Nothobranchius furzeri: one gene and its partner. The protein of the gene in region 2 purifies or fractionates together with the protein of the main gene of each other region. This does not show direct contact. Links are inferred from orthologs where the notes say so. Each region holds a gene or a part of one and is shown on either strand. Other genes may lie near its edges.

Region 1 (12,473 bases), on a different chromosome or scaffold from region 2:
CGTCAGACTGACTTCTTGACCGACACAAGAAGGGAAAACTAGGTCAAACCTGTCTGATTATTCCAACAGCTTTATCGTCTTAAAGGTAGGCCCGCTTCATCATGAATGAATGAAAACAAGCTCTTTGTTTTCATTTCCTGATCCTAACCATGCATCTTTTTAATAAACCAGCAGTAGAGCTCCTGCATCTAAAATCAGCTGATTTAAGCACACCTAAAATCTCAGAATTCACTCTCGCTGTTACAGTATGTGACCCAGTTTCTTCATGACGAAGAAAATCTGATTCAAATGTTTCCTTCCCTCGGGACCTTCCACAGCACTAATTAGGCACGGGCACCACTCCTACATTTGAAGAAACCTTCAAATAAAAACAGGCTAAAAGCAGTTTCTAAGTAAGCTAGCACCTGGATTGCTGATGGGAATGCTACTCGGCAGTTTGCCTTTTGATCTGTCTTCCCTCCTAACCCCGTTTGGCTTTAGCGCACTGAGGGAAAAGCATTAGTCCACAAAAAGAAGACAAGAGGCTGACTAGGAGCAGATACTGTAACCATAGTGAATCTTCCCCCACTTCCCGAAGGACCGGCGATTAATAATGGATGATCTGCTGCTGAAACTGAACCGCATGTGTGGATGTAGGCACAGAAACTCAGCATAGACGGTTTCTCTTTTTTATAAACATGTGCACTTCAAAAAGCTTAAAGATCCATGTGCGGGCTCTGAGATCACAGAGGAAAAACATTAAAAATAAACGCGGTACGAAAGTTGGGGAGGTAGTTCTCTGGCTCTCGGGACTCTAATGTGGGATTTCTGTCTGCGCTTCAATCTTTTCATCTATTTCCAGCTCAAGGCGTCATTCCCTTTTTCCACTCTTATCACAACCACTTCCTCGTTGGGATTGCACTTTGACGGCTCTCAGCGTCTCACCTGCGAGTGCACCGTGCTGTGGTCGGCGTGAGATTCCCCACAGCCCACGTAGGCACAGCCATCCTGGAGAGGGAATCAGAAGATGAAGGCACCATGATGTTTAAGAGGAAAGGATCGGCTCGACGCATTCCCTGGGAATCATTGTCTTACCTCCAAACACGCCCACAGATTCGGTCCTCTGACTTTGCAGTCTTGACACTGACCCTGATGAGATGTGAAGGTTAATAGGAAATTGTGAAAATGCAGTAAAAACAAATTAATTCCTCAAAGTAAACAAATCACATCAGTTTTAAACTAAAATCTGAATTTGGAAAGGTTTTAAAAGATCTATGAACAATCAGTTACTATCACCACATATATATAAAAATGATATTTTCTTCTTCTTCTTCAGTTTACAGTTTTTATTTTCTGAGGCCTGAGGACCATGGCGGCCATCTTTAATTGAGTTGAATCCACTACTTACTAGATTACCTTCTAGGAATCGCATTAAGGTTTACCTTAAAGTGAGTTGGTAAATTTCAGCAGGGTCACTTACATGAGACTTCTGAATTAGTTCCTCCTTGGTGATCTCCCCCACACAGTCCAGGTGGGGGCAGTCACAGCTGGATGTCGGCGACATCGCTCACCGACCAGTCTACGTGAGAAACGCAACACTGAGAACACAACTCCAGTTTGGGTTTGAGTAACTTTCCGGACTCAGAATGAGCTTTTTGCTTTATAGAACACTGAAGACAATAGTCAGGTTACTGTCACCAGAGTCCTCACACCTGACAGGGTTTTCCACACATACTCAAAATTAGTAAGCTGTTGGCTTGCCAAGCCAGAAATCATCAACCAGCTGTCAATAACTCTGAACCAGTTATGCCAGCTTCCTGCTACAGCTAAACATATTGTGACTTTTTTCTTACGTTATAATACTGCTTTGATCTATATAAAACATGATTATGTTTAAGTCCTTTGCACCAATTACCTCCAACATAAAACGATTTCAGCAGTTTGATTCTTGATATTTCTAGTACCTTCCAGAATGAGCCGTTTCAGGTTTTTGTCTCTTTAAGAAAACAAGCTGGAGCTGGCCACGCCCATCCCCCCACTCAGGCTGCTATTGACCCTTTGCACGTGACGTCACGCCACTCATGTGACCGCCCCCTTTGCCATGATGGACGGCAAAAAGACTGTTTAAACCCGTTGAAACTCCAGTGAAGGTAGTCAAAACAAGCCAGTTTGTAGCCTTTTATCGCTTTTATTTAGTTGACTTGACAGTAAAATGGTTTTAGCGTGCTGCGTGGTTGGCTGCACTAACAGATAAGGATGTAAGCTCAACTCGTTTTGTTTTTTTAATAACTTTGATGGAGACAGAGGACGGAGATGAACTGCAGCGATCAATCAGGCAGACTAGCAGCCCTCAAATTTACAGCAAACACATTTTTACCGGGTAAGATTAACGTTCATCTATTTCACGAGGAATACAGGGACAGGGATAAATGTGATGTGTTTATACAAGTTATTGATAATCCTGATGGATGGGTATTTCACCACGGAGACCGCGCTCCATCCACTGTAGTGTAAAGCGAGACAATTATTAACAATATTAAAGCTCCGATGTATAATTACGTGTGTTAAAATTACGTTATTTATTTATATGAGCGTCGGCGTTCAGAGATCTTCTCATTCTGGTGTGAAAGCAGCAGCTGAACCCGGTAACACCACCAGCAACAGAAGCTGGTAGGGATCCAGACTTTTTAAAAATCAGCTTTTGTGTGAAGTGAAACGCTGTTTACAACATAAAGTTATAAATCCAGAGGGGTGAATTTAAGCAAAGTCAGCAACATGTTTACATCGGTGAACAGCCGCAGAGGAGGAGTTAACGTTGGTAAGCTCTCTATGAGCCCCCGCTAGATGCGCTACTTCTGATAACTGAACTGGGCATAAACTAGTTGAAGGAATGCTGGAGGAGTTTTGTTTTTGTTTTGATCGCAAAAACAATTTCAGGCTCTACTTTTCCCTTTGTTTAGTACTCGTGCCGCTCACTGTTTACATGCTTTTGCCGTCCAGCATGGTGGACCCATGTGATTAGGTGACGTCGGTGCAAAGGGTCAATAGGGAGCCTAAGTCACGCCCATCTACATCCGGACCGTGGGTCCCCGGAAGAACGAAAAAATGAATGCAAGTCGATGGGGCTAAAAAAGCTATTTTCTAATTCTGCTTGTTATGTACCATGGGTTTCACATATGATGTCTGTGAATTTTAAAGAAGCATTTTTATGCCAAGAACGTGTTTATTTTTGAACGAGGGGAAATGTTATTTTAGGTTTTGTGTGAAAATAAGTCCAGGACTACAAATGCGCTTCACGAAAGTGACGTCATCAAACCAGACACGGAGAAAACTGAGGGAAAATGGCTGTAAGTTTAGCAAACCTAAAATCCTTTCTTCAGGAGGAAAAGAACCACCATAAATCTGGCCATGTGGTAAGTAGTAGCTACACTAGAGGAGAGGAGTTTCATGACATCACATATGCGACATGCTGATATCTAATTTGTCGTCATGCTAATAACGAACTTTTACAAGCTTTTAACCCCGTTGACTTGCATTCATTTTTTCATTCTTCCGGGGACCCATGAACCGACCGGAAAGGGAGGAGACTTAGGCTCCCTAATGACCCTTTGCACCTATGTCAGCTGATCACGAGGGTCCAACATATTGGACGACACAAGCTTAATAAACAGAGAGCAAACTGAGTGCTGAACAAAGGGAAATGTAGTGCCTGAGATTGTCTTCTGGTTGTTTTTGTGATGTTGGCTTGGCATTCCCTGAATGTGTATGAGTTAGGCCTTCATTTATGTTGACTTTAATTCCCTGCTTTCATTGGTCTCTTTATCTCTGTTTTACCCATTTGTTTTCTACTTTAATGTTTTTACCTTTTTTTCTCATGTACTGTGTTCAGCGCCATGGGCTTCCCGACAGGGTCGCGGAAGGCACTTTATAAATAAAGCTTTGATTGATTGATTGATTGATTGATTGATTGATTGATTGATTGATTGATTGATTGATTGATTGATTGATTGATTGATGTTTAGCGTTACTTCAACTAGTTCAATCCCAGTTCAGTTATCGGAAAAAGCAGCACACTTAGGTGGGGCAACAGTGAATTATGGGAGAATTGAATGGAGAGGGAAAATTTGAGGTTGTTTTTTTGCCAGTTTAGCCTGGTTTCTACTGGTTCTAGCCCAGTTCACTTGTGGGAATATTAGCACACCTTGGTGGGGGTCATAGAGAGTAGTGTTTACAAAAGTTATGTGTTAGCTAGAAGTGTGACTTCACGTGCAACGGGTCAATAAGCTGAGAAGCTCTGATATCTGGGAGGGGCTCAGAGTAGAGCTGCTGTTCCTCCAGCACCAGCTCTCTTGCACATGAGGTGCTTCTATTCAAATTTCCCCAGTTGTGACATCACAAATGAGGACTTCGTGAAACAGCTCATTTTAAGCACATAATTCCTAAAACCAAACACTGACAGAAAACGAGTACACTGATTTTTTGGGAGTGTTTACAGAGGCAGTATACTAGAGACCCACTTGGAAGCACAAAATTATGCAAAAGGTGAGCTTTGCATAATATGTCCCCTTTAACATCATCTATAAAAGCCTTTGTTCTGGTAAAAATATGAAGCTGTGGTGGAGAAACATCTTCACCCATGTTCCCAATCACTATCAGCCACAACAGCTACTAAATGTTTATGGGAAAGAATGACGAAGAAACAACAAACACACCGAATGTGAAAGTCACCCAGGAATCTGATTTCACACCCAGTTCCTAAGTGGAGGTTAAACAGGAAGGCCACATCCAGCAGGCTGGATAAATGACGGAAGACAGAAAGGAATAAAACGGGTTTATCCTGCTGCACAGCCAGCACCAAACCACTGATAAGATACGTAATCTGCTTTCTATTCCTCCATGATTTTACAAGATTCTATTCTGAGGCTTCATCTTATAGGCTCTTATCATTTCATTGCTGTTGTTGACTCTGGTTTTTGTGCAGGTTATGTTATAATTGTGTTGTTTTAACTCCAAATACATTTTGAGTGTCAGAACTAATGTAAACAGCTTCATAAGATGCAGACTTGCATTAACTCTCATTGTTTTACTTCATTTTGCAGAGAAGAAAAGAAGAAAGCGTTCAGAGGGATGATCGGAAATCATTAGAACTTTCTGTTGATGGGCCTTTTGGCAAGGGAGTAAAATCCCACCGCCATCAACACATGAAGATTTTATGCATCTTTAAAATTATTTATCAGGGAAACGGGACATAAACTCAAAGAATGAAAGAAGACAGGAGCTTTTTAGGGTCTGTTTATTAATAGTTTAGTAGGAGGAAGTGCTGCATCGTGTTGATTTAGATTCTCATCCATCCACTACATGGCAATCTGAAAAAAATTGATTTTAAAAGCTTCTTTAATTCTAAAATGTAACGAGTAAGGTTCTTTTCTGATCTAAAACCTATATATCAGTTAGCTTCACAGCTATGAAATGTCAAAAACAAATCAAACATAACACCTCTGTTATGTCACGTTATTATCACGATACGTGTCACACAACTGCTAGTTAATGCCTAACTGGGAGACAAACTGCATGAAATTGCTTTTCACACAAACAATAAACAAAAAATGTGATATGATATGACTAAGATATGCTGGATGTTATCGGACCATTCTCCTGTGATTGCGGTGAACTTTGGAAGAAAAAAGGATCAAGAGGTCAAGGAAAAATAAATTCAATGTTCCTGCAGCTGTAAATACAGCTAGAAGTACACAGCAGGACACAGCAGAGGGAATACCTATTCAAACCAATACAATACACTCCGTGCCTCCATAAGTCATGTGACATTATATTAAATACCAGTGGTAGATGGGATGTAACCAAGTTCATTTACTTCAGTCCTACCGATTCCAGACAAGCTAAAATGATTTTGTTTTACTTTTAGTCACTTTTACACAGAGAAAATGTTTAAATTAATGTTGATTTGACAGCTTTTCTAACTAATTGCATTTAAGAATGGAATTTGGATGCCACATGTTTTCTAAGTACAGCAAGATAAATAAAGATTAAAACAGTTTTTCACATTTTTTACTGTTTGATGTATTTTAAAAAAGCAATGCTTAGCCAGAATTACATTGTAGACGACAATTCAGTTAATAGCTCCCATAATCAGACATATTTCTGTCCATACTGTTAACAGTTGTGGTAAATTATATCCAAGTTATAAAGATTACTTTGAATGCTAATCAAAGCCAGACGTGCTAGCCTGACCTGCCAGACTTGTCCTCTGTCTACGCAGGGAACTATGCTTCCCATTAGGAAGCATGGGGTTGGCTGGTCAGGCTAGATTTGTGCATCATCAGAATTTTGCACCTCTCCTCATCCGATAATTATTGGATAACTGATTTATTAGCTGTCTCTGTTTAAAAGCAGTTCTGCCTTATGGAGCTACCTCAGTAACAATGATGGTCCAGTATCTAACATAAAAATGTATCTGCTAAAGTGACCATATTTTACTAAAATGTTCAGCCACCACCTTTGCACCTTAACAGTAATAAGGATGGATATTAGAAACAAAATATTTATATATATATATATTTTTTTTTTTTGGTAGTATTCTGAATACATGATCTACAGCTAAAAACTGTACAAATGAGTGGTACTCTAGGGTGGGGCTTTCAGACAAATTTCACATATATACAGCTAATCCTGTTCTTAATAACATGCATTAATACATTTTTGTCAACAGAGAAAATATGAATTAATTATATCTTAAAGGCACAAAGTTGATCCGTTAAAACATGTAATCATTAGCTTAGCAAACAGCCAGTCCACAACAGGTTAGCAATAACTATTGTGCAGAAAACGTGATGTTAGCGTCATTACCTGAAACCCAATCAGAGAAAGTGACAGAAAAAGTCCGTTTAATCACTTAATTTTTTTTTTTACTGTAGGTTTCAAAGCGGAAGCGAGTTGTCCTTTTGTCCCAGATAAAGTCAGTGGTTAATGCAGAAGTGTGTGGCTTCGGCCTAGTGAGCTGTCAAAATATGTAGAGGCGTCACAGGCTGGCTGGCCATCTTTCGCTGTTAGCGTTAGCTAACTACTATCCGTTTTAATTCAGTGTGTTGCAACTTAACCTTACCACTAACCACTAAAAACAAAACATATGTGTATTACGCTAAATCACACACCGAAAATGTTCCGGTTCGATGGTTTATAACGTATAGTCATCTCACTACGAACATGCTAACTGGTTAGCAAGCTAAAGCTACTGATGATCAGTGACAATCGGACCTCACAGGAGTCAGCAGCATCCAAAAAAAAAGCCCAGATTTGGTCCTTACCAGCTCCTTAACAAGACACGCTGCTTCTCGCGTAGATCCAACTGTTCCTGGCGTATCTCACATTGGTTTTAGAGACATTTCAGAAGAAAATCCTCCACAGTAAAGACAACGCTACCGTCACTCAGCGTGGTTGCTAACGTTACAACTAGCCCCGCCCATTTTCCGGTTTAAAATGTATGAATCCTCCCCATTTTACTGTACAAAGTTTTTGTTTACATTGTTATAAATATTATCAAATGGCACTTGTATAGCTTTAGGACAAAGGAGCCCAGCATTATCAAAAATTATATTTTTAAATAAAATGTAATAATAATATCTTACTGAACAAAATATTGAGTCATCATGCAGATTGGTTGGATTTTGACGTTGTAACAATGCAGTTAAATTTGTTAAGATAGAGTAGAGATTTTTAAAATACAAAATCAGTCACCTGGCTGATACACAATGTATGGGGAACACCCACCCAAGCGCGATCTAGCGTAAAAAGGGAAATAACATCCAAATCAACCAATCAATTTCCCTCTGGGATTAATAAAGTATTTTTGAATTGAATTGAAACCAAATAAAATACATGATCAAACATAAACATGATGCTTAAAATGTGCTTTAGTCATAGAAATATTTAAAAAGATAGAAGTATAACTGAGACATTTTAACATTTAAAAGCGAGAGATATGTGGGGAAAAGAAAAATTTTCATGACTTATAAAATCTTTAATATATAAAATCAGATTTTATTTTTATTTTGTGAACTAGAGTAAATTAGAAGAAAACAAAACATTGTCATTAACAACAAAAAATAAAAGTCATACAAAAATTTTTTGAAAACACCATGATAATAACTGTTATTAATATCTAAAATATCTTTCACAAATTGCTGTCTAATTTACATTAGTCAGTGTTCCCCCGTGTGTGTGTGTGTGTGTGTGTGTGTGTGTGTGTGTGTGTGTGTGTGTGTGTGTGTGTGTGTGTGTGTGTGTGTGTGTGTGTGAATGGATGAATGGTACATTGTAGGGTAAAGCCCTTGGAGTCCTCTGACTCTGAAAGGCGCAGCTCGTTATCAGGTTGACAATGGAATATGAATAATCTGGCGAACTCTGGTGTTCAGAAGTGGTATTGCAACAACAGGACGAATTTTCCAGCAACTGGGATGTTGGCTCACTGCTGTCATGTTCCAGCACCGTGTTCAGAGACAAATCATACAGGATAAGGACTCATTTCTAATAATAGGTTTATTTTACAACAGTACGTACAGTTAGAACATCTTCTGGGCTCAGAGTCAACTGTTTGACTTGTCAAGTCTGCCACAGTCCCAACCTTGCCTTGTTGGGCGGTGCCCTCTAGTGGCTGGTAGATGAAAATATATCACAGTGTCGTGCTGACAGAATAAAAATATGATTATGTGTCTTTTTAAATTATAAAATATTAAAATAAAGGTTTAAAAGGAGAAACTGTACATTTATTCTGCACACCTCTGAGCACCCCGTGGAGGTATTGTTTTTAAATATAGGTTTTTATTAAAATGTTCCATTTTCTAACTTTATGTGACATAAAGTTAGTGATGAACAATAACGTAAATTAGATTAAATGGAACATTTTATTTGAAACATTGATATGTAGTGAGCAAAAAGAGTCAGAAAAATGTTATAAGTCACGTTTACAGTGTGTTCATCAAGAGTTCTATAAAAAATATGGCTTATTTTAACAGCTGACCTAAAACCTACACCTCAAACATTTACTTCAAAGTAATTTTTAAATTGCAGCTTTTTAAATTTTTATTTTAAACTCTCATTGTTCATGTAAAATCCATGGCAAAATCACATACATTAAAGAGCAAGTCACCCCCAAATCAACTATTTTTTTCTGATAAACTATATAAATGTGTGTCTAACCGTGCTGCAGACACGTGTAGTCAGTAGTTTTGCACTTTAGTGCATTTTATTAAAATTTAAATTTTCTGCCTGAAACTGTCAGTGTTGTGCCGTTGTCAGGTAAAAACTCTTCACTGCATTTGAATTTAAATCTGCCACCGCTACTGGCTAAGAGGTATGCTATGATGTAAACTGGTACATTATGATGTCACAATGCCGTGAGTGTGTGTATTTGTTAGTGGCTCCACCCTCTCGGTCTGCTAGGCAACAGCATTTGTTGCATTTTTCAAACATGAAGTGGGAGTGAAGTACGCTTCTTGTAAGGGGTGACTTGCTCTTTAATTTTGTAATTATCACGTGAGACCCTTAAATAATGTAATACGCAACCAAACCAAAGAGGGCGCCAAAGCTCCACAAATGTAAATAAGATGAGCGCTTTTATTTTGAAAGCCAAACCGGAAGAGGGCGTTTGTAGCTCAAGCGAGTCCTTCAATCGTCTGGAACCGACTGAGGTCAACCGGAGGACTGAACGAAACACCGGGAGAGGACACCGTGAAGGAAATCTTAACGAGTAACGATAATGTGTTTTCCATCTTTAGTATGTTACATTCAGATAGGAGACAGCGTGTAAATACAAGTTTGAAACTGTTTTAGCTAGTTTTTGTATGCTGTTTTCTTAGCTAGCCTTTAGCTTCCCATTGAAGCCGATAAGTATGATCCAGCCATGTGCTAAAGTGATTTTCTGATACATTTCTTGATTTTCTTCTCGACAGAAAGGCTTTTTCTATGAAAACATTTATGGATTTTTTTCCCCCCACAACATTTGCCGTTAGATGAATGTGTTTTGGTGTAATTCAAGCTCATTGTATTATTGTGTATTATTGTGGTGCCATGCAGATGCAGCAACACAAAAATATCTAAGTGCTTTTAACATGTGGCTAAGACAATAACTGGTGAAAAGGAATGAGTATTTTAAGCATTTTTTTTAAATTTTGTTACAAGAAAGCGATTGTTTTAGCTTAAGTTGAAACAAACTTGCAGAATTTTAGTTTTAAATGCAGGATTTGGAATAGTCTTAAGTCTAAAATCAAGTCTGCTTCTTTATTCTTTAGTTTATTGCGCGCTGTAAAAATTCTGTCTAGTTTAGATTAATTTTAACTAAGATTGTAAATAAGGTAAAATATTCAATTCTTACACATATTATACACGTGCCAGCAAGCTTTAAGTGGATGAAGTTGATTAAAAATACAATATAATATATTAAAACAGATTTTAAATGTCTTAGACAAATTTGATTAGATGTTTCCCTGTCCTGCCAAATGGATTTATGACATCAAATAATATGTGGTACGTGCTTGTTTTTATATAACAGTTGTATGGTAACAGAAAGATAAACCCCATAATGCTTTCATTTGCTGCAATTTTGGGTAAGACTTATTATTTCTTTCTTTTGTAGGGTGTTCTTTCAGGTCATTGCACTAACGTTAAGACCTGAATTTACTGGCTTTACATAAGATCCTCTCCTGAGCCTCTAAGGTGAAATCTCTTCTCGTCTCTTCTACAGCACCAGTGAAATGTTGAGGACAAAACTCCTGCCAAGACATGGATAGAGAGCCACAATGACACATGAGAACCTCACAAGCTCCCAGCTGTCTGTGAAAGCTGCTGCCCTGCGCATGGTTGACCTCTCGCTATCCGTCTACAGCTCCCTGACACAGGTGAGCAAAAGAAACGATCACTTGGAGCTCTTACTGGGATCAGTTTTAGGGTACATCATTCATACATGAAAGAAAACATACAGACCTTCAGATGACAAAAAAATCTCAGTTAAATCTAAACCTCAAATTGATTTTCATGCACAAATCTCAAGCGTTCCCCTCCATTTCTTTTGTTTCGCTTTGTGTTTTTTCATGTTCTTTAGAGCAGTAAGTACCTTATATTTTCCATTTGTTACCCAGATGCTGTTCTGTTTATTACATAAGACACAAGAGTGTTTGAGTCACAGAGCTGGTCTGATATTATTAGAGTTGTCTGGTAGAAGCTCATTTGATATGTGGCAACAGCAGTTATGGATGCAGCTCTGAAGCTCCGCAGAGCTGCAAGGCTTCAAAGTGGAGGCAAAGCAATCAGATCAGCACATCCCCTCTGGTCTTTTATGCTATTCTGATTTAGATGCAGGTTTTGGGACTTTGAACTCTGCTTTTGTTGTGGACAAATATTAGTTTACGTTAGATTTCTGTTCAGAATTTTTTAACCCTCATAAATGTAAGTGTTGTTGAACTTCTGACCCTCCAGGTGAGCGTCAGCTCCAGCGCCAAGAGGCTGGTGGCTGCTGCTGCATTCGGAACTGCCTCGCTCCTCCTCCTCGCTCACCGCTTTCGGAGGAGGAAGGGCAGAAAGAAGGGTCCCTCTCCACAGTGGAAGGAGGCTGGTTTTGATGTTTACTCTCCAGCCTCAGCAGACAATGGTGAGATGTTTTACTGTCTGTCCATCAGCTCTGTAATCCGCATCCTAGAAGTAACTGGAGTTGAGTTGCATTTGAGAGGGAGCCCTCCTGCTGTGTTTAAACATTGTTTTGTAAGCTTATCTCTAAAGTGTTAAACATTCTCTTCCCAGATAACACCAGCCAAACCATCAGCGTCTCCCTCAACTCCAAGAACACCAGCTCAGCTGGTTCTGGACTGGTTCTCACCACGAGAGATTACAGAAAACTCTCTGGGTCTCTGATGAGCTTGGCCTCGGTAAGACGCATCTGATGTTTCTATTGAAGGCCAAGTTCACTGAGAATAAGTTTTTACTTGTATATATTTTTTTTATTATGATTGATCATTCTTGGTTTAACCTGCAGGCTAAAGGGTGAAAATAGTCTCCTACCACTTTTTCCTGTATTAGCCGACAAAAGAAAAATATTCTAGGAAATGCTCGTATTAGAAAAGCCTACATTTGCATGTCATGATGACAAGATAGCATTCAAGGACTCACCCATCTTAACTCGTGACGGGGAAGGCTGTTGTTCATTTAGCGTCCAGGAGAAAACAGAGCAGTTGGCTACAAGCTAACTGTTAGCATTAGCAACTCCTTGTTCTGCTCTCCCTACCTCTTTCCTTTTCACTCTCTCTCTTTCTTTACATTTTTAATCACAATTGTCTATTTTTTGCTCATTTAAAATATATTTTTAAACATTTTCTAAATTATTTTTATATTTTTACATTTTTTGTTTTTGTGAAGCGCCTCGTGATTTTTATCTTGAGAGGCGCTATAGAAATGATATTTTCTTCAAATGCAGTGCAGAGTTTTTACCT
Region 2 (11,763 bases):
AAACGGACAGCTTTAGTAGACTTTTCTGACTCTTGTCCACACCCCCCCTCAGCGTATAGGAGGTGAGCGGTCAATATCATACAGCAGAGAGGTGTCTGCAGTTTTTTAATATCTGCCTCAGAGTCCGATCAATGCCACGGGCTGTGAGCTATAGCTTACTACACGGGAGGAGCTGCTGGAGTTATGAGGACAGAGCTCAGGTCTGAAAGGTGTCTCCAAGCTCGCCGAGGAGGATGAATCTGAGGGCTCGGTGGTTAATTAGACAGGAGGGCCAAGACATAAGTGTCAATGCAAGAGGGGAAACTAAATGGTGTCTCGTCTGTGCCGATGAGTAAAACTATGGTAAGGCAGCTTTGTGTCGTAGTTGGAAGGGTGCAAATGAAAGAAATTAAATCCTTACACCCCACCCCCCATAAACCATGCTTTTTGTCTGAGAAACACTGCTTTTCTTTAACTTCTTTGTTCCAAATGTCAACAATCGCCTTCCTTCACCTATCACCTCAGTATTCCAGACCACACACGAGTTACGCAGGCTGGCTGGGTGGGGGAGGCAATAACCTCCAAATGAAAAACAATCCATTCAGATCAAATGCAATCAGCAGAAAGAATGATACACAGAACTGCCGAGCTGTCAGTTACCCCCTCCCTGCTCAAACAAAGACAGAGGGGAGTGGGATGGAGAGATTGCAGCCAAGGGAGGGGCAGAGGATGAGGAGGAAGCCAGGATATAAGGATCATGGTGGGAGGCGGGGTTTGGAGGTGCTGGATATTCTGCAGTGATATAGCTGGTCTGGCGCCCAGCGAGCGCGATATTAAATCTCCTTGTCAAGTGCTTCCAACACTCAAGGACACCTGACACTAAAAGGAGAGCCAGCTCCAGGACTACACCCAGAGAACGTGTGCGTGTGCACAGGCGGGCTTACATTTTAAGAAAATTATCCTTTCAAAGGTAGCTGGTAAAAAAAAAGGGAGGTAGGTTTCCTCAGCCCATTAAAAATGCCATAAAAAGTCAAATGCTTTTTTATTTAACAAGGTTAAAGCTATTCGTACAGCTGGTTTTGTTCTTTCTTTATCTTGTTTCGGTTACAACTGGCCCCGATGAATTAAAGGTGTCTCCTCAGAACACCTGGATCAATTACATTAGAGGACAGCTCCTCCCCACCACAGCCCACTGCTGGCCCAGTCTGTTTAGCACTGCCACAGATTAGGAGAGATGCCATGTATGCATGTGCGTAACCACATGAAGAGAAGATGATTAAACTCTGGCTCACAACTATCCCATACTCAGTCGTTTGCAGACATGTCACAGTAAACTGCTTTTCCTCCTCCAGTCTTTACAGAGAATCGAGGCAAAGCCATCGACACTAACTGGCCATCTGTGTACTTACGGCGTAGCTGCTTTATTGTGATTTTATCTTAACTAAATACCACTTGAGTCACTAGTGCAAATCCAATGTATTCATTTATTCTTTTTTTTTTCTTTTTTTTTTATTCATTTATTCTAATAAATATTTTTGGAATACTAATTGCATGTAGGGTTGTCACTGTAACCGGTGTAGCGGTAAACCCTGGTGAAAAAGTTGACAATAATAATAACTGTCTTGTTTAAAAAATATATATTATCTTTGTGACTGCGGTGTAGGCGCGGTGACCCTTACCAGCCACCGTATCATCTGCTGAAGTTGCCGGCGGCACAAGCGCACTTTGTTGTTTACGACCAAAACTTTCTTGAAGCTAAAGCTGAAATAATGGTCAAAGGAGGAGACGGCAGCGCTCAGGACATTCATTATCCGTCAAAGAAGACAAAGTGGGAATTACAGGCATATTTTAGATATTTGAAGAATGCCGAGGGACAGTTGATAGAAGACGGCTATCCTGTTTGCAGCACGTGCAGAAAAAGTGTCTGAGAAAGGCAGCAACGCTTCAAATCTCATGACACATCTGCCTGACCATCACCCACAACTCTACAGTCAACGCAAGGCAAGCTAACGTTAGCGTTTTAGCTAAAATGCGTCATCCGAGGATTTGGGTTGAGGGAGAATGCAACAAGTCGCTATATAAAGCAGCCGCAGCGCCGCTACCTGCATATAAACCGTGTCGCGGACACCGCCATGTTGAAATGACACTATGCATTACGGGGCTCCCAGAGGCAGATAAGAGTTGGTCTCTCTCTGAGAATAATTATGAATTTAACAATGATTACTGCCTGATGACATTTTCCCAAATCTGCAAAGCTCACTGGAAGGACACAAACCGAGGACAATATTTTCCTGATATAGGGTTTATTACTCAAGTAAGGGTAAAAATGTATCTGATTAGAAGGCTACTTGAGTACTGAGTATCATCTGGTCTAATATTTTTAAAATGATGACATCAAACAGACAAAAAATAAGAAGTTATGGGCAAATATTGGTATTTTAAAGGGGAAAAATGTAAATAAACAACATAATTACAAAATAACACATTTTAGGCAAAATTTTGACATAAACCGAGGACAATATTTTCCTGATACACAGGGTTTATTTAGTTGTTTGAAAATGTAACACGTTTAAAAAAATACTGCGATAATACCGAAAACCGTGATAATTTTGGTCACAATAACTGTGAGGTTAAATTTTCACACCGTGACAACCCTAATTGCATGTACATGGTTATTGTACTGCGCTTGTGTCTAATATTTTGTTCCACTAGAGGACGGGATGAGCGATACAAAAATACATTTATTCAAAGATGAAGCGGTCAAGAAAGAGCACAGTGTGGAAACGAAGCCGCACGGCAAACAGACCCGAGGCCAGGACTCGGTCTCTGCCATGGCGCTCCTGCTTGGCCACAGCTATTTTGCATCTGCCTCTTAAGAGTAATTTGATTAATAATATAAAGGAATGTCAGTGTAACAGTTTAGTTCAGTGTAAGGAAACTTAATTTGTTTTTAAAAGTGTGTGCTCCAGAATGTGCAAGCATCGCTGTGCAACAGGTCCTGATGGACAGGTCAACCCTCGACCCACTCGCGCCATTTTGTTTCTGAATATTATAACGAGTGTGCTACTTTGGTTTTGCATCAAAATCTATTAGAATGAGTGAACGAAGAAGTGCACACACGAGTTTATGGTAAACCAATTATGAACCGTACTTCAACTGGTCAAACAAAAATGTTGAAAACATACATCTCTACCGTAGATTTACAGAACACAAATATGTTCTGGTTCTTTTCGGAATGAAAGCAAGACTGTTCTTTCACACAATGGTGTGCTAAATCTTAATGACTTGGGTATCAAAAGACGTAAAACTTCATTCGGTGAGTGCTTTTTTAGGTTTTAGTTTATCAGCCAGTAACCTACTTGAAGCAGGACTGGGTTACTTTATGTAGATGTACTCGTTCATGTACCTTCACTGAAGGCTTCACGTCTCTGGTTCCCAGGATGACCTGCAGGATGCTGTTTTTGCTTTTTAGGAGGCCTCCTGTGCATAGCTGCCATACTCATATTACTGTCTGTAGACACTGGGCTGCCAGGACGATGTCCCGACGGGTTTATTTGGTATTTTCGAGCTGAGAAAAGAAACAGAACATTTTGTTTGTTTCTTTGCAATAACTTCAAATTTGTTGCAGTAATCTTCTGTGTAGAAGTTGTGGACTTTACCTGAGGCTCCGCCCACTTCCTGGACCTGTGAATTGGGGTACTTTGCCACCCTGAGCCCTGAATATTCTGCAGCTGCAGCAACTGCTTGAGCAAAGTCGGCGTCTGTGAAAAAGGAGCCGTCTGATGAGCTGACTGCACTCGACCTCCCCGAAGAGACATTGTCCTCCTCCGAAGCTGAGCCCCATCCGTTGATCATGGAGCCGGTCACCGAGCTTTCCAGGTCGCCCATGCTGGATGCAGGGGTCTGTTCCAGTCCTCGTAGTAGCAACCTTCGCGCATGCATCTGGGGGTGGGGATGGGTATGGTGGTAGTGCATCTTGGCCACCTCTGCGTCTGTTTCATCACCATCCTCCTCCTCCTCTTCCTCTAATATATCCTCCTCTTCCTCCAGACCGTCGGTGTCCAAGGCCAGTGGGCTGCCTATGTATCCATATGTGTGTGAGGGAGAGTGGGGCCTTGGGGGGGGTGGCGGGCTCACAGCATGGCGCCTGCAGGAAGAGATGAAAACATTTTATCAGCATCAGTAAGGATTTAAAAAAATTTCACCAGCTTGCTGTAAAACGGGTCTTTCTTGTTGTAGCTACGTGCTACACCTTCCATCAGTGATGCAAATAAAATATTTAAAATTTTATGCCATAATAACTTGCCATATTGTAACATTCATTTGTCATGCTTTACTGAAATGACTTGGAACTACGACTCCGTGGAAGGTAAGAAATCATTCTAAAAGCTAAGACATGCTTTTGAAAAACGGCTGACGCCGCAGTGCAATGTGCAGAATTTGGAGTTAATGAGCCCAATCATGAAATAAAGTACGCCGAATGAGGCTTTTAGAGCAGATACATTTCCTGAACGCCGCCTCTCAGCGTGGCCAGCATTGTGCTCTGCTCAGTGCCGTTCACACATATACCTGCGTTCATGGCTGTCTGATCCGTCCTGAAGCATCGGCTGCATCTCCTCCTGCGGCGAGGGGGTGAGGGTGGCTGTGGACTGGTGACTGTAGGATATAGCAGCGGGGGAAGAGGCTGCCCCGCGGACAGGAGGAGTAGGCCCCCTCTCCATCTCCTCCTCCTCTAACTCATCAGGCTGCAGGTACATGTGAGAAGGGGGCATGGGGCACTGCATGTCTGGATCACCGCTGCCAGCAGACACAAACAAGCCTTGTTAGCTGCAGATCACTCACGGGTAACGTCAATGTTTTCAATATATTCTGAAGCTGGGAAAAAAAAGAGGAACTAAATATTCATGCATTCCTTCCATCAGGATTTGACACAAACGGAGCTCTAATGGACAGGAAACTCCTGAGGCGAGCACTTGGAATGGTTATAAGAAACAGAAGAACGTGTTCAGAAATTGTCTAGCACTTCAACACCGTGAGCGTCAATGTCAGATTGACTGTCTACCTTTCTTCCATGGACAGTACGTACTCCTCTGTGGTTCGACCCGGGGCTGGGTTTGCAGGAGGAGGGGGTAGAAGGTCAGCCCAATTCATTGTGCTTTGTTTGGGTAGTTTGGGGGTGCGCACTCCCTTCTTGTGGCCCTGACTCCCTGCTCAGAAAAAAAGGGAAAACGGACATTTAATCAGTCACTACACACCTTCATATGCACACGCGTGAATCCTGTGTAGCAGAAACACGTCGGTTATAAACGCCGACAGGAAATGGACAGCATATAAAATGAACATCAACAAGGCTGACTGCAAGAAAGATTGTTGTACACTGGAGAACAGAGAGGCTAATTCGACTGCACTGTCAGAATTCTCTCATTGAGAAAGAAACCGCTATAAAACCCAGCTGTTCTACCACAGGGCTATCAGCTGGTCCGGAGAAAAAAGGTAAGAATGAAGCGTGAAAAGGGTCCAATTAATGCCACACTATTAAAATTGTGAACCAATGAGCTGTGATGTGCAGCAAGCACAAAAGGCCTTTTCTTAATGACTTGAACTTCAAATGTGATATCAGAATGGATACATGGCATTAAGGTGGCAGCGTTGCATGCCGTCTGCTGTGTGTAATCATTTATCCTTGTCCACATCGAGCTCCGGATATTAAACCGCATCACAATAGAATTGAGCTAAATCTGGTTAAAGTAAGCTAGGGCAAAACTAGCACCACAAATACGTAGAGAACTACTTAGAGGCACCATAAAAGGCATACATTTCTTTTTACTCTTGTAAGCATTATCAGGCTCTAGTGGTTCTTTCATTGTTTAGAAGCAGCGCAACTACTCTAATCGGCCCTTTTTTGCAAAGTTTTCATAAAATTTGACAGGATAAATGAATCAGAAAAAGCCTTTAAAGCATATTTTATTAGTGTCACTACGATGATGTATTGCCTTTGTGGAGTATGTGTACGGGAGTCTTGGGTTCACAGTGATTGCAGAAGCTAAAAGATTACTTGGCAAAACATGAAATGTTAATTATTAAAGTCTAAAAGAAGTGGAATAAGTTGATAAGAGATCTGATGATGCGCCTTTAAAGGGACTTAATGGAGTTTTAAATTTTTATGCTTGCGATTGCCCCTCAGGCCAAAAGCGTAACGCCAGCTTCAATAGTAGGCTCGTGCACGAGGCGCGCATGCTGTACGTGCACACTCTTTAACGAAAATAACAGCTGAGACAGTCCCGTGTGTGTGTGTGTGTGTGTGTGTGTGTGGGTGGGTGGGTGTGTGTGTGTGGCCCGGAGGGCAGAGGACAGGAGAACGCGCAGCTAATTAATTAAATAATGTGGTTCTGTACCTTTCTCTTCAGCACAGCCGACAAAGGTTTATGATGGGTCAGTCCTCCTGCATGCTCAGATCATTCCCTTCCCTTGCTTGAAAAATTGTTCCAAAATGAAAGTTGAACCCACATCTTTTTTTATCTGTGAATTCAATGCCGTTCGGCGAGTCTCAAATAAAAATTTGGGCATCTTACTGTAAAAATATACCATTAATGTAAAAAAGAAACTAAATAAACTATGTTCACATCCAGAATCAAACCCAGGTCTTCTGCACGAGAGGCCGATGTTTTACTAGGGGAGCTAAAGCGCCAGTGATGTCATTTGTATCTGTAACATTTATATCCTTGATGACAGCTCAGTCCAGGGAGTGGTCTGGGGTAGCACATGCCACCCTTGGAATCTGATTGGCCACCCCAGGTGTCACCACACAGAATTTCCTTTAAATGGGCGTTTCATTGTCCACAAAAGGCTTGAGGTAAAACAAAAAAGCATAACCACTGGTGCCACATATGCACAAAGTAGTGCCTCACCTGGGCCACCCCATTTTAAAAGATCTGGACACGCCACTGTGACAGCTGAAACAACGTTCAAAGAACGGTTCAGAGCTAAAATGGCTATTTTGTTGCTAATTTGCAGGAAATATCTAGAAGAAAGTTCTACAGAAAGTAGCTAAGTGTCTCCAGAATTGTAGCTAGCTTTGTCACTAGGCGTTAGGAACAGCGACAAAGACTAAAGCTACGGATAGCAAATGCTACGGGCGATGCCTGAGCGTGAACGCGCATGAAGCAGCCTGCTCGACCCGAGCATCTCTCTTTTTCTGTGATTTTACAGAAAAACAGGCAATCACAGTAAAAATGCCAGGGCTCATTCTACAGGACCAGGGTATTGCAGGAGAATGTATGAAGAAGACATTTATTATTTCTATACATGTTTTGGCTGTCAAACTTCCTTAATGCCCCTTTAAGTTGTATTTCTCTATAAAGCCCAACACATCTCACCAGAGGTGCTGCTGCTGCCTCGGTCAGAGCTGTTGTAGGAGCCCCCGGTGTGGCTGTCGTGAGTCTGGTTGTAGGGAATGGTGGCTGGCATCGGACTGTCGCCGCCTCTGTAGCGATCTGTTGGATAGAGTCCAGTTAGTTCATTCCCAGGCGTAACTAGTCAGAGGTCAAAGGAAATCACCCAGTTTCTCATGAAAAGGAATGAAGAACATTGGCGATGTAACCAAAAATTCTCTAATTCTCCTGCAGTGAGCCTAATGTTATAAGGTAAATGCAAAGACAGACATGCAGGATAGATCTCAGGTGACTATATATCACATGCAACACATATCTTTGATGTTAAATGCTAGACAAGGGTCCTTTCACCAGGTAGGATAAGATAATTATAGCTTGATTCAAACAGCTTTGATTTATCTTTGTCGTCTTTATAGAAATGTGACAGATAGAGAAGCGCTTTCAGCGCCCGCCTTTATCAGAGCAATACCCAGAATACCGAGAGAGGATTCAAGCCTGGCCCAAAAGATGATGAAGGATAACATGAATGCCAAACAGACAAGCAGAAAGAAAGAGTGATGATGCCTTTGTGGACTGAAAAAGACTGGGAGGAAAGAGCCAAATGGTGAATAAGCATGAAACTCTTGCATAGACATCCATAGGGTGGCTGAATCAGCCAGGAGAGCAGAGAACAGAGGGGAAAGTCAAGTGGAGGAAGATCATGGCCTGGAGTTGACCTCTGTAACAGAGGCTGCTGGGTACTCCACACACTCACCCTTATTGAGCTTGTTTTGTTCCATGATGCTGTACTGGAGCTGGGAGCCCATTTCCTGTTTCTGCTGCTGGGCTGATGCTGGCTTCCAGCAGTGTTTCTCATTTAATTCCCCTCCACCCCCGAGTCCACCTCCGCTCCCACCGATGACTCTGTCTGAGTTCGTGTTGTTGCTCATGATGGAGGACTGGATGAGCTGAGTGGTGGCGTAAGGTGTTGGCTGGCCCCCTGTGCCTACAAAGCGGCCATCTTTCAGGTTTGGGCTGTTGAAGGTCTTCATTTCATTGATCTTGTTGGACAGGTCCACATCTCCATAGACCCCTGAGTCTGGCACCATGAGGTTGGTCTGCTTGTTATCCATCTGGTTGTTATAATTGGCGATACAGTCGGCTGGAGAACATGAGGAGGGCATTTAGTCAGTCTTTACTGCTGCTGATCAGCTTAGCAGCAGTAAGCCAGCTTGGTAAAAGATTTCAAACAATCTGATCTAATTTGGAGCTTATTCTAACAAAAGACACATTTTCATTTCAAGCTTTGCAAAGATCACTATCCAGTGGAGAAACATTCCATTTTTCTGTTTTAATTTTCAGCTTTGTTCACCAAATGATCCCGTTTCAGGTGTTGCACCAATCTACCAATAACTCAGTGGGGGAGCCATTTTTCCCCCCTCCATCTGACAGCGGCAGCATCCTCCCTCATTGAGAGGGACAGAGAGACATGTCTGTATCAAAGACATGGAACGAGGCACGCAGTAAAAGCACAGCTTCACAGACTGATCCAATTTTCCCTGGCTCATAAAATATTCAAATCCTCCAGCAGGTCTGAGAGCCAGCCTAGCGGTAAATACCAAAGACGGCCATAGTACACGCGGCTCGTGCCACGCGCCTCACATTTCAGCTGCACGGAACAGATCAACACTTCAAAGGACGCTGTGTGAAAGCGCCCCTATGGCTGAGATAAAGGGACATTAACTCCGATTTCTTTGCTCTGTCACCTAGTCAGTGATCCTCTTAATGTTCAGTTTAGTTTTGGCACACACACACACACAAAGCATGCGTCTGGCAAGCTCCTTAGTGTCATATAGCAGGGTGTCATGCAAGGAGAGTGAGGGCTCCAGCCTCTCATACAACCTCAGAGGGGTGATTAGCACAAAGGAAAACTGCACTGGACTATAAAGTCTGTGAAATGAATTATGATTCCTCTCTGAGAGAGGTTTGAAGTCGGGAGAACACCATCGGGAGGCTGGATGGATATTGGGTAGAACAGCTGGACGGGAGTTATGTGCTGCTATTAGAGCCCCAAAGTGCATAATTTAGAACATAAAAGATTTTAGTGGCGTCCAAGTTTCTATGATGGGGTTGTTGGTCATGCTTGAAATATATTAACATTAACTCATGTCATCCATGCGAAAGTTTCTGGGTGCATATTATTCTATAAATACCATACAGTAAATGATTTAGCAACAGTGGACAAGGACCTGGAGCCAAACAAGCTCCCCTTTGCGCAAAAACACCACATCATATTCCTCTGTCTGGTTTCAAATGTTCCTAATTCTCCATCTACTGATCCAGGTGCACCCCCTCTCTCTCCCCCTGCTTCTGGCCATCGCCTGCCGTCCAGCCTTGACCCCCTTGCCCGCTGCACATTTCTTAAACAACTGAGCACTTAGAGGAAATTACATTACCAGCTATAACAACTGTATGGAAATCAGCAGAGCAATTTGATTAGCAACAGAGTCGAGCTATAAGCCCTGCTCAGTGTACTCCTTTTATTTCCTGCCTAAAACGGCTACACTTCAACCTCAAATAAATCATACACACACGCGCATAGCCACTATTCTACTGTTCTCTAGTGGAGACCTGCAGAAGGGAGAGATGCACACAGCAACTCCCTCGAGAGCTAACCTAGATATCAGATCTTACTTCCTCTTGCACTGCAGGTTCCCCCAAGCTCCCACATTTCTTATCACAATAGTTATTTTGTCAAGGACTGCATCGTTGCCTTGGAGAGGAGTGATTTTTTTTTTCTGGTTTCTGCCTGCATGTGAGAGGTGTGGCGTGACTTACCTGGTCTGCTGTACGTTGTCAGGTTGCTGTCACTGTTGCCGTTGCCCGCGGTGCAGCAGTTGATGCTGCAGTCGTTGTGGTTGGAGCACGAGTTGGGCCATGTGTCAGCCAGCCAGGGCTGAGTGGCTGAGTCTCCCATGTTTAGTAAACCAGGCCTGCGAGGAGAAATGAGACCAGATGTTTGACAATGGTAACAAACTAAGCCAGCGCCACAATGACATTTGTCTGAATGAACGAAAACACCCGCAGGAACCTAGTGTTTGGGGGAAGAAGATTATGCAGAGTTTATTTGTGCGGCTGAGAAGAGGAAAACTAAATCCGGTTTGAGTACTTTTTGCCTTTTGGCCAAACATGCAATAAGGAAACGCATAAAAGAGCTAAATATGGAGCGTGTTTGATTTCCACAGAGCTGATGATGCTTGCTCTGAGACCATGTGAGCGTTAGCGATCTGCCTGAATCAGACAGCCAGATAAAATTCACTCCTGATGTTGCTCCCTGAGTAAATTCAACGTCACACAAAAGCTCAGTTTTCTGTTAAACACACATGCAAAATAGAGTTTTTTGTGTCTTTGTTCTCCTGTTTAGTACAGTGCAGCTGATATAACATCACTTGTTAACAGGATTATTCTGTAGATCTTGACCTTTGCTGCAGAAAAAAACAGCACAATATTTTTTTTTTCCTATTGCTGATTAAACAAATCAATCCAGCGTAAAAAGGGAAGCAGTGTACTCTAGCGGGGCTGCATACTGCTTTGGTATTCAAAACTCCCGGACCGCATATCCCAGCACTGAATTAGCATTGAATTACATTTCCTCATTCCACCCGTAATGACTCATTTCTTGGATTAATTTTGGGTAATGAACACATTTGTCTTGTACGGCCAAATACAATCTCACAATAGCTCCTCAGTCACCCCGGCAGTTGTATGTTGATATTGAACGACCATTGTTTAGTGCAGAGCTGACACAGCCGCACTGGAAACAGGATTCAATCATACAGCTGGAGTAATATAATGAATATGGATTTACTGTTGATGGCTTCAAGCTAACTATTCATTAACACACACACACACACTTATGGTGCAGCATTAAGTACATTCTGTTCTCTGAGCAGAAATCGGATAATAACTGAATGCACCCCCCCCCTTACACACACACACACACACACGTATTCCATTTACCAGCTATATGACGACATGCCAAAGGCCATCCAGAGGATAAACAAATTAGTTTTGGCAAGTGTAATGCTGTGCAGTCTCACAGCTTGTGTGTGGTGCACCATCCAATAGGCACGTAGTTGCTGCTGTGCACATGCACGGGTCTCTGTTCCTATTTTAGAGCGATGCTATGGCACAGCCTTGTGGTAGGATGTGGCGTTCCAGCACATGGGATGGGCTCCCATCCGACTCGGCCTGGTCTTTGTTCCTCAACCATTATTACACCCTTTATACTACCTGCTGCCTTGGAAAGACTCAGATCGCCCCCTAGTGTTTGGGAAAGAAAAGTGCATGTGCCCATCCCTTTTTTGTCTGTTCTGAAGGTTCAACACCCCGTTTGAAAAATCAAGTCTAATAA

What was found.
Region 1: the proteins of robo1 (region 2) and usp33 purify together in Homo sapiens (affinity purification with western blotting; 5 studies listed by BioGRID and IntAct, with this or other methods). This does not show direct contact. The link is inferred for Nothobranchius furzeri from reciprocal best matches to the Homo sapiens genes ROBO1 and USP33.

Annotation. Positions count from the first base shown.
Region 1 is NC_091751.1:41,925,188-41,937,660, forward strand, and holds the start of usp33 (ubiquitin carboxyl-terminal hydrolase 33), read right to left. Parts: upstream 7,442-12,473; 5' UTR 7,302-7,441; intron 6,957-7,301; exon of another isoform or gene 6,844-6,956; intron 1,559-6,843; 5' UTR 1,544-1,558; coding exon 1,460-1,543; intron 1,129-1,459; coding exon 1,075-1,128; intron 988-1,074; coding exon 925-987; intron 1-924. Other genes in the region: miga1 (mitoguardin 1), read left to right, coding at 10,791-10,889, 11,467-11,638, 11,788-11,912. UniProt on the Homo sapiens protein: Deubiquitinating enzyme involved in various processes such as centrosome duplication, cellular migration and beta-2 adrenergic receptor/ADRB2 recycling.
Region 2 is NC_091753.1:53,954,710-53,966,472, forward strand, and holds part of robo1 (roundabout homolog 1), read right to left. Parts: intron 10,343-11,763; coding exon 10,188-10,342; intron 8,512-10,187; coding exon 8,125-8,511; intron 7,473-8,124; coding exon 7,356-7,472; intron 5,187-7,355; coding exon 5,042-5,186; intron 4,777-5,041; coding exon 4,549-4,776; intron 4,127-4,548; coding exon 3,639-4,126; intron 3,548-3,638; coding exon 3,386-3,547; intron 1-3,385. UniProt on the Homo sapiens protein: Receptor for SLIT1 and SLIT2 that mediates cellular responses to molecular guidance cues in cellular migration, including axonal navigation at the ventral midline of the neural tube and projection of axons to different regions during neuronal development.